Cricetulus griseus: one gene and its partner. The protein of the gene in region 2 interacts with the protein of the main gene of each other region in a pairwise test. Links are inferred from orthologs where the notes say so. Each region holds a gene or a part of one and is shown on either strand. Other genes may lie near its edges.

Region 1 (3,500 bases), on a different chromosome or scaffold from region 2:
TACACAAGGCAATGGCAAAGCTACACCCGCTGTGCAACTCTGCCATAGGCTGAAGAGAGCAATGGTCCATGGAAGACTCTGTGCGTGTGTGTGCTCATGTGTGTTCATGGTGAGGGTGGCAGCACGTGAAATGAAGAAAAGTGCTGTATTTATTTCAACATGTGAATAATCATGGGAATAAAGTCAAAGGAAGTAAAATATTTTCCATAAAATTCTAGAGGAATAAAAGTAAATAATTATAAATATAAAATAAGTATACATATATTTGAACTTTTTGGCAAATGTGAAAGCAGCTATACCTATAAATTCTGAGAGCAAGTGACTCTGCTTCTGACTCCTGAGTGCTACAACTAAAGGTGTTTGCCACAGCCCAGTTTAATTTTCTTATAGATATAGCAGATCAAAGGTGCAAACACTGAGTTTAAGACAGTGAGCATTCAATGACTTGCACTGAATTTCATTCAGTGAACATTCAAGTGCCTAGACAGAGGCCTTATCTCAGCTGACAAATTCTTTTCTGGTTTATGTCTACAAGAATCTACTATTTCATGTAAGGGGAAGACAAGAAAATCTGTAGAGGGGAAGAAAGATACTTTTTAAAAAATGCAAAATGCTACTAATATGGAATGTCCTAATAAAAGACACCAAAGTCAGGCACTGCTACATGCTGGGCCTTAAACTCACTCACACCTACAAACCTAAAAGGCCACTGTCAGGGAGCTGGAGACATGGCTCAGTGTTAAAAGTACTTTCTGCTCTTGCAGAGGATATGGGATTGGTTTCTAGTACCCACTCAGCTGCTGATAACTACCTGCAACTAGACTCCAGTTCCTAGGGATCCAACACCCTCTTCTGGGCTCCGAAGGCACCAGACATGCATATAGAGCACAAACAGACAGACACTCATACACATAAAATTAAACAAAACAAAACAAAACAAAAACTTTAAGGCCATTTCTCACTATAGCTGTTTACACTTAATTCTAGGTCTGAGAGGAACAGTCAAGTGACTACACAGCCAACTCACCATGCTGTCATCCTCCATGTCATTGGCTGAGAGGGTCCAGAGCTTGGCAGCAGCAGGATCCACAACAGGCTTCACTGAGTCCAACCATAAAAGAAAAAGAACTCTTTAAGCAGTCGGAAGCAAACCACAAGCAAGTCCCAGCAAGTGTGGAGACTAGAAGAGAATGACTGGACAGACTGAGAGGGTAGGCTCAACACTCAGCTCCACTATGAACAAAAGGCATAGCTCCACACAGTAAAATAGTCTGCATGCATCACATGTTTGCTTTGTGCTAGGCCTCCACCAGCGCTTCCATCATCTCACCTAGCCCTGCTAAGAACCCTGTGAGGTGCCTGCCATTCTAGTTTTATAGCTGTGGGTATATGAGGCTACAACCTCCATTCCTTGCCGCCTTTTCCTTGCTACCTGAGTTTACACCTCTGTAACATGGGTTATAGCACTCCCTCTGCCTACTGCAGGTATTTTAAGAATTAAATGAGAGAAGTAACAACAACTTCAAAAAAAACAACAAAGATTTAGCCTCACTTAAGCCTGTAATGTAAGAAAACAGACTCCAATGCTGTTGGTGGCCAGGTAAGTCAGTGACAGAACATTTTCCATCTGGGTCAGGACACCAGAAAGAAATCTATGAGCCTCAGGGCTGGGGATTTAGAGGGGCAAATCCTCAGTAAGGCCTTTTAGGTAAGCTCACAACCAGGATCATCACTGCCACAGCTGATGCTCAGAATGTCCACAAGGTCAACTGCTGATCTAAGCTGTCCCAACCCTCCAGGAACTGTGAAAACCAAGGTCCAAGTATTTTCTGAGGCCAGGGTTGAGAACATGGGCTTCTAATTACTGCCACTCAGAGGGCAGAGAAGTGAGGACCAGAAATTGAAGTCAAAGTACTTCAAGATTGAGGCTAGCCAGGTGGTAGTGGTGGCACACACCTTTAATCCCAGCACCTGAGAGGCAGAGGAAGGAGGATCTCTGTGAGTTCGAGGCCAGACTGGTCTATAGAATTAGTTCCAGGACAGCCAGGACTAAACAGAGAAACCCTGTCTTGAGAAATCAGAAGAAAAAGACTGAGGCTAGACAGCAAAAGAATGCAGTATAGATATGCCAGCAAACATCCGTTGAATCTATGCATTCCTCACAGCCAAGAAACAATTGGGACAAGAGAAAACTTTAATAGGAAGGATGAGAGATGAGTAACGTGTGCGTGCACACAAACATGCACACAATTTTTTGAGCAGAAGAAACACAGGTTTTGTTTTTAAGCATTTCAACAGGACGTATTCTGGAGGATGTCCATCAAAATCAATCCAACAAAGCTGTAATTACAGCTTTGACAGAAACATTAAAATAGCATCTGCAGCGGATTGTAGCAGCAAGGTACAATGATGCTTATGAAAGTGTCATGACAAAAACCACTTTTCTGTATCAATAAGTTGTGTATGAAAATGTTAATTTAAAAAGGTATGCTAAAATGGCCATAGCACATATAAAAAATTAAACACTAATTACATTTTTAAAATTCTGAAATATACAAAACATGCACAAATCAAACTAGCAAGCAATCATTAGAAATAAGTTTTGTGACTTTATAAGCATAGAGCCTGGCAGGGGTGGCACATGCCTTTAATCCTAGCACTCGGGAGGCAGAGGTGGGCAGATCTCTTTGAGTGACTTCAAGCCCAGCCTGGTCTACAAAGTAAGTTCCTGGGCAGCCAGGGCTACACAGAGAAACCCTATCTCAAAAAAAGGAGAGGAGAGAGAGTGGGAGAGAGAGAGGGAAAGAGGGAAGGCGGGAAGGGGAGAGGGAGAAGATAGACAGACAGACAGACAGACCCACCAACCCACCCCTACCCTCTGGAAACTGAACAAGGGAACCTGTGCACCATTACCACCATTGAAAGGTCTTCTGAGGATAAACCCATCCTCTCAGGGCCTGAAGAGACTTCATCAACTAAACAAGTGACTCAGGCATCCAAAACCTCAGTGCACTAGGAAATATCTACATATTGTTTCAGGTTTGGATACTAATATGTAAGCACTCTGCAATTTGCAAATGACAGAAATTAAGGGACTAGTTTAAGAATATTTAGATCATGGTTCAATTTCTTTTTAAAAAAAAAATACTTTATTTAACTTTATTTTATGTGCATTGGTGTAAGGATACTAGATTCCCTGGAACTGGAGTTACAGACAGTTGTGAGCTGCCATGTGGTTGCTGGGAATAGAACCCAGGTCCTCTGGAAGAGCAGCCAGTGCTCTTAACCAATGAGCTATCTCTCCAGCCCCCATGGTTCAATTTCTAACATGCTCCTCAGGCCCACCCACATAGAATGTCCCTAGGCTAGTCTTACCTGAAGACTTCTTGTTGCTGAAAATCTTAAGTTGGCTGGAAGAGCCCACTTCAAAGTTAGGCTTCTTGCCGGTGATACGAACTGAGAGCAGGCTGTCACTGTGGTAGCCCAGGTGTTCCTGGACA
Region 2 (4,286 bases):
GCTGAGAAGCCAGTGGCACCTATTGTTGCCCTCTGTCCTGTTGGCCATCAGGTCATGCTGCTCTTCCCCAGTAGTTAACCCTATACTCTGTGACTGCCCTTTGCCCTCAGTAGGCCCCTTCCTAAGATGGGGTCGCTATCTTGGGCTGTAGTCTTGTCATTCCATTATGTGCCTTTACTTGCCTGTCACCGGGGTCTTCACTCTAGCAGATTCATTCACTCATTCTCTCTCTCTCTCTCTCTCTCTCTCTCTCTCTCTCTCTCTGTGTGTGTGTGTGTGTGAGTGTGTGTGTGACCTATTTGTACTTGGAAGCTGATGAAAAAGCTCCAGGACATGCCTGTCCCACAGCAGGTTTCATCAGCAGGGGATAGGCAGAGACCCAGTTACTGGATCTTTTCCTATAATTCCAATGTGTTTTAAAGATCAGGGCAGAGAGGCCAAGGCCTTCCTGTTCAGCAGACCATCTGTTACAAGAACATGCCCTTGCATGTGTTTTTGGGCGTTGGGTCTGTAGCTTCTTCAAAGGTCTTCAGTTCCTGTTATGATTGAGTCAGACACTACTGACTCCTACTCTTAGGTGAGGGTGCTGGGTACCTTATCTGTCCATAGACCAGAACACCTCAAACCTGAGGGAGATCTCTATCTTTCACCTCCTTGGCACTTTCTTAGGTATTTTTTTTTAGTTAATTTATTTTTAAAGTGTGGTTTTGCTTGAGGCAAGTTTGAAGCTGGCCTCAAACTCATGGTCCTTCAGCTTCAACCTCTGGAATGCTGAGATTATGGCTGAATGCCACCATATCTGGCTGATATTTTTTGAACTTTTAAGACACTTGTCATGTAGGTGAGGGCAGCCTTGAACTCATTCTATTTTAGCTTCTCCAGCTCTAGTGCTTGAGATTATAGTCTCTATCCCACATATACTGCTCTCCTTAGCAATCACCACTGACCCTAGGGACACCTCTCCAGACTGGTTTTTATTCTGCTTCACCTCGGATGGCTGCTACTCCTCTCAAGACTCCCACCTTCTTATCATTGACCTAGGGAAGGGGAAACTCCTCCTGTCTGACCATGACCATGCTAGATGGCAGTCCTGGAGTAGACAGGGGCTTTGTTTTTTCATGATTTTATTTTGGTTGCTTTAACAGTGACTCTCATGCTAGGACCCTTCTAGTACTACACAGCTAACTGTAGTTCCTGGGTTATCTCCTGGCCCCTGCACAACCAGATTCCACTCACTCCACAGGTGGAACTACAGTGTATCCTGTTTGCTGTGTTGTGATTCAGTCCTTCCTCGTATTCTAGATTCCTCTCATGACTCTATCTTTCTGGCCTCTCTAGAATGTGCCTGTTTTATTCTGCCTTGTGCCACCACCCACCTCAGACCACATCAACACCTTTTACTTGTGGTGGTGCATTCCCTGGCATTACTCCTGCCACCTTCAGACAGATGGTGATTTTGCTACACTGTGGTGGCTACTGTGTCACTTCCATAGTTTCTGTAGCTTTCATCTGAAGCCCAGGTGTTTCACTGTGCCACCCAGATCTTCTGAATGAAACTTTCTTCCTTCCCTCTTTCTGCCAACACAGTCTGTGGCTGGGGAATCTTCAACTTCCTGTCCTTCACTCAGTTTGCTTCTTACCACCACCTGCCCCTGGCTTTTATTTATTTTGGAGACAGGATCTTACTATGTAGTCAGGCTAACATGGACATCACTACACAGACCAGGCTCGTCTAGAACTCACAGAGTTCCCTCTGCCTCTCAAGTGCTATGATTAAAGGTGTGCTCCTTTCTTCCAAACAGCTGTGTCTTATTCCATGACCACCCCCCCCCCAGAACATCTGGCATCTGGTATTTTCCTGGTAACTGGCCATTAATCCTGCTGTGTTCACCACTGAGCTCCATGAAGGAGAAACGTGGCTGCTGTGTCCCAGATGGTGCCAGGAATATATATGCTTGAGAAAAAAAATTAAAGAATGTTTTCTGAATGTTAAAAACGTTAAACTTCAGCACGTGACTCAGACTAGATTCCCATGTAGGTCTGGGAGAACAAACAAAATGGCTAAACAATAGAAATCAAGGCTACTGAGTGTCTATTAAGAGCTATTTCTCTCCCAGATCCACTCAAAGAATATCCCTCAAAGCTACCTCTCATATACAACATGCACTGAAGGCCAGCTATTTCCTGTGCACCCAGGGGCTCTCACAGCAATGAAAAAGGGGTGAGGGTACAAATAAGGCTAGTCTTACCTTCATGTTGTCAGGAGGGTCTCCTTGGCCTGTGGTCGCACAAACAAATACCACCAGGGGCTCCCTAATGAGATTCGCCTCAAGGACAAGACACGGGTATGCGTAAGGGACTGACAGCCCTGGTCAGTCCCCTCCCTGCATCGCTCCCAACCCACCCCATTCAGATAGGGTAACAAGAGTAAAGTGTTTGAAGACTTGTTCCCAGTGGCTACCGGGCCTTCTCTTTTTCAGGCCTCAGCCTCGTGCCAAGCCCCCTTTCCCCTAAATCTGCCTGGGCCGTAGGGCAGCACTCAAACGCCCTCCGTTCGAGGACGCGAGGTTCGGGGGAGGGTCTCCGCCGTATCACCCGAGCCTCACCACCGCATAAGAGTCGAGCGCCTGCACGCGGCAACCTAGCCGCCGGCGCCGGGCCTCGCGACCCAGCCTCTCCGCTTCATCCTGGGCTGTGCCAGTCTGGCTGCCGAAAAGCACAAGCAGCTGCGGAACCTGCATCACCGCACCACGCCGGCCAGAACAGTACACACCACTAACTTCCCTTTTCCTCTGTCAACAGGAAATGACGTGTTTAGGCTGCGCCAGTGCGAGGTGGGAGGGCGCGCGGGTGGGCGGGGCTGGCTCTGGGCCGCGGGCGTTCGCTAGCATCCAGTTCCGGGTCCGGGTTCGAGGTCTGGAGAGCGGCGGTGCGCTGGGGCCGGGGTCCAGGCCGGCCTGGACCGCTTGCTGCCTCGCGTGTGCAGCGGCGGCAGCAGGCGGTAGCCAGGCCCTCGGACGAAGCGGGCACGGCCCGGTGCGAGGCGCCGTCGGCCGGATTCCGGCCGGTATTAAACAGGCGCGATGTTATTCTCGCTGCGGGAGCTGGTGCAGTGGCTGGGCTTCGCCACCTTTGAGATCTTCGTGCACCTGCTGGCCCTGTTGGTGTTCTCCGTACTTTTGGCACTGCGAGTGGACGGCTTGGCCCCGGGCCTTTCCTGGTGGAATGTGTTTGTGCCGTTTTTCGCCGCCGACGGGCTCAGCACCTACTTCACCACCATCGTGTCTGTTCGCCTCTTCCAAGACGGGGAGAAGCGACTAGCTGTGCTGCGCCTCTTCTGGGTTCTCACAGTGCTTAGCCTCAAGTTTGTCTTTGAGATGCTGCTGTGCCAGAAGCTAGTGGAGCAGACTCGAGAGCTCTGGTTCGGCCTGATCACGTCTCCGGTCTTCATTCTCCTGCAGCTGCTCATGATCCGGGCTTGTCGCGTCAACTAGCCTCGTGCAGGGGCTGGGAATGGAGCACTGCGCAGCTGGAGTGCTGGGTCATCCAGTCCAGACCCTACTTGGCGCCACACTGGAGAAGCTTTGGTCAGAAATCCGTGTCTGCTTGTGCCCCGTTTACTGTCCAGTTTTCTCTATATCTAAGATTGTTTCCTCAGCAAAACTTAAAAGTGAAGCCTCGATTATTAAAAGTTATTTCCTGTTACTCATGCTCTGAGTTGCCAGACAATACTGAACTTTTATGACATTTGGAAACTGCATATACGTAAACTATCCTGATAGGCTCTGAATATTTCCCATGGTGATATACCCCTTTATGAATCAGCTTGTTCACTCAGAGCTTACCCCTCCATCGGTCCAGGCCAGACTTCTTTATACAATTGATAATCTAACAGAGCTTGCGTCACTTTTCTCTGTCCTGGGGAAGAATAGCCTTTTTTCATTCCATCCCACATAGAGACAGCAGACTGTTGAAAACAAAGCATGAATAGGACCCAGTGTGTTTATCTGCAATCTGAGAAAAAACTCTGGTCTCAAGACATTGCTTGGTTTCCTGGCCCAACAGATTACAGTTTCACGGAGTTTCCCACCACCTTGTGGCAGGCATCATTAATACACTGTGACAGACAGACCTCCCTAAGGGACCAAAGACAGGAAGAGGCGCTCACATGCTCATGGAAATGGATACTTACACATAAGAGCTTGTGAACAGCTTGAGTTTATTGACCTAAGGTCTTGATTTTATGTCAATCATGTGCCAAATGAGATCATTTGTTGAGATGGAAT

What was found.
Region 1: the proteins of Ndor1 (region 2) and Ciapin1 interact in binary tests that used the Homo sapiens proteins (3 or more experiments, as listed by UniProt). The two-hybrid records come from large-scale screens. The link is inferred for Cricetulus griseus from reciprocal best matches to the Homo sapiens genes NDOR1 and CIAPIN1.

The regions. Positions count from the first base shown.
Region 1 is NC_048596.1:171,047,156-171,050,655, forward strand, and holds part of Ciapin1 (anamorsin), read right to left. Parts: coding exon 3,376-3,500; intron 1,102-3,375; coding exon 1,028-1,101; intron 1-1,027. UniProt on the Homo sapiens protein: Component of the cytosolic iron-sulfur (Fe-S) protein assembly (CIA) machinery required for the maturation of extramitochondrial Fe-S proteins.
Region 2 is NC_048599.1:136,606,687-136,610,972, forward strand, and holds the start of Ndor1 (NADPH-dependent diflavin oxidoreductase 1), read right to left. Parts: upstream 2,801-4,286; 5' UTR 2,742-2,800; coding exon 2,607-2,741; intron 2,328-2,606; coding exon 2,250-2,327; intron 1-2,249. Other genes in the region: Tmem203 (transmembrane protein 203), read left to right, coding at 3,084-3,494. UniProt on the Homo sapiens protein: NADPH-dependent reductase which is a central component of the cytosolic iron-sulfur (Fe-S) protein assembly (CIA) machinery.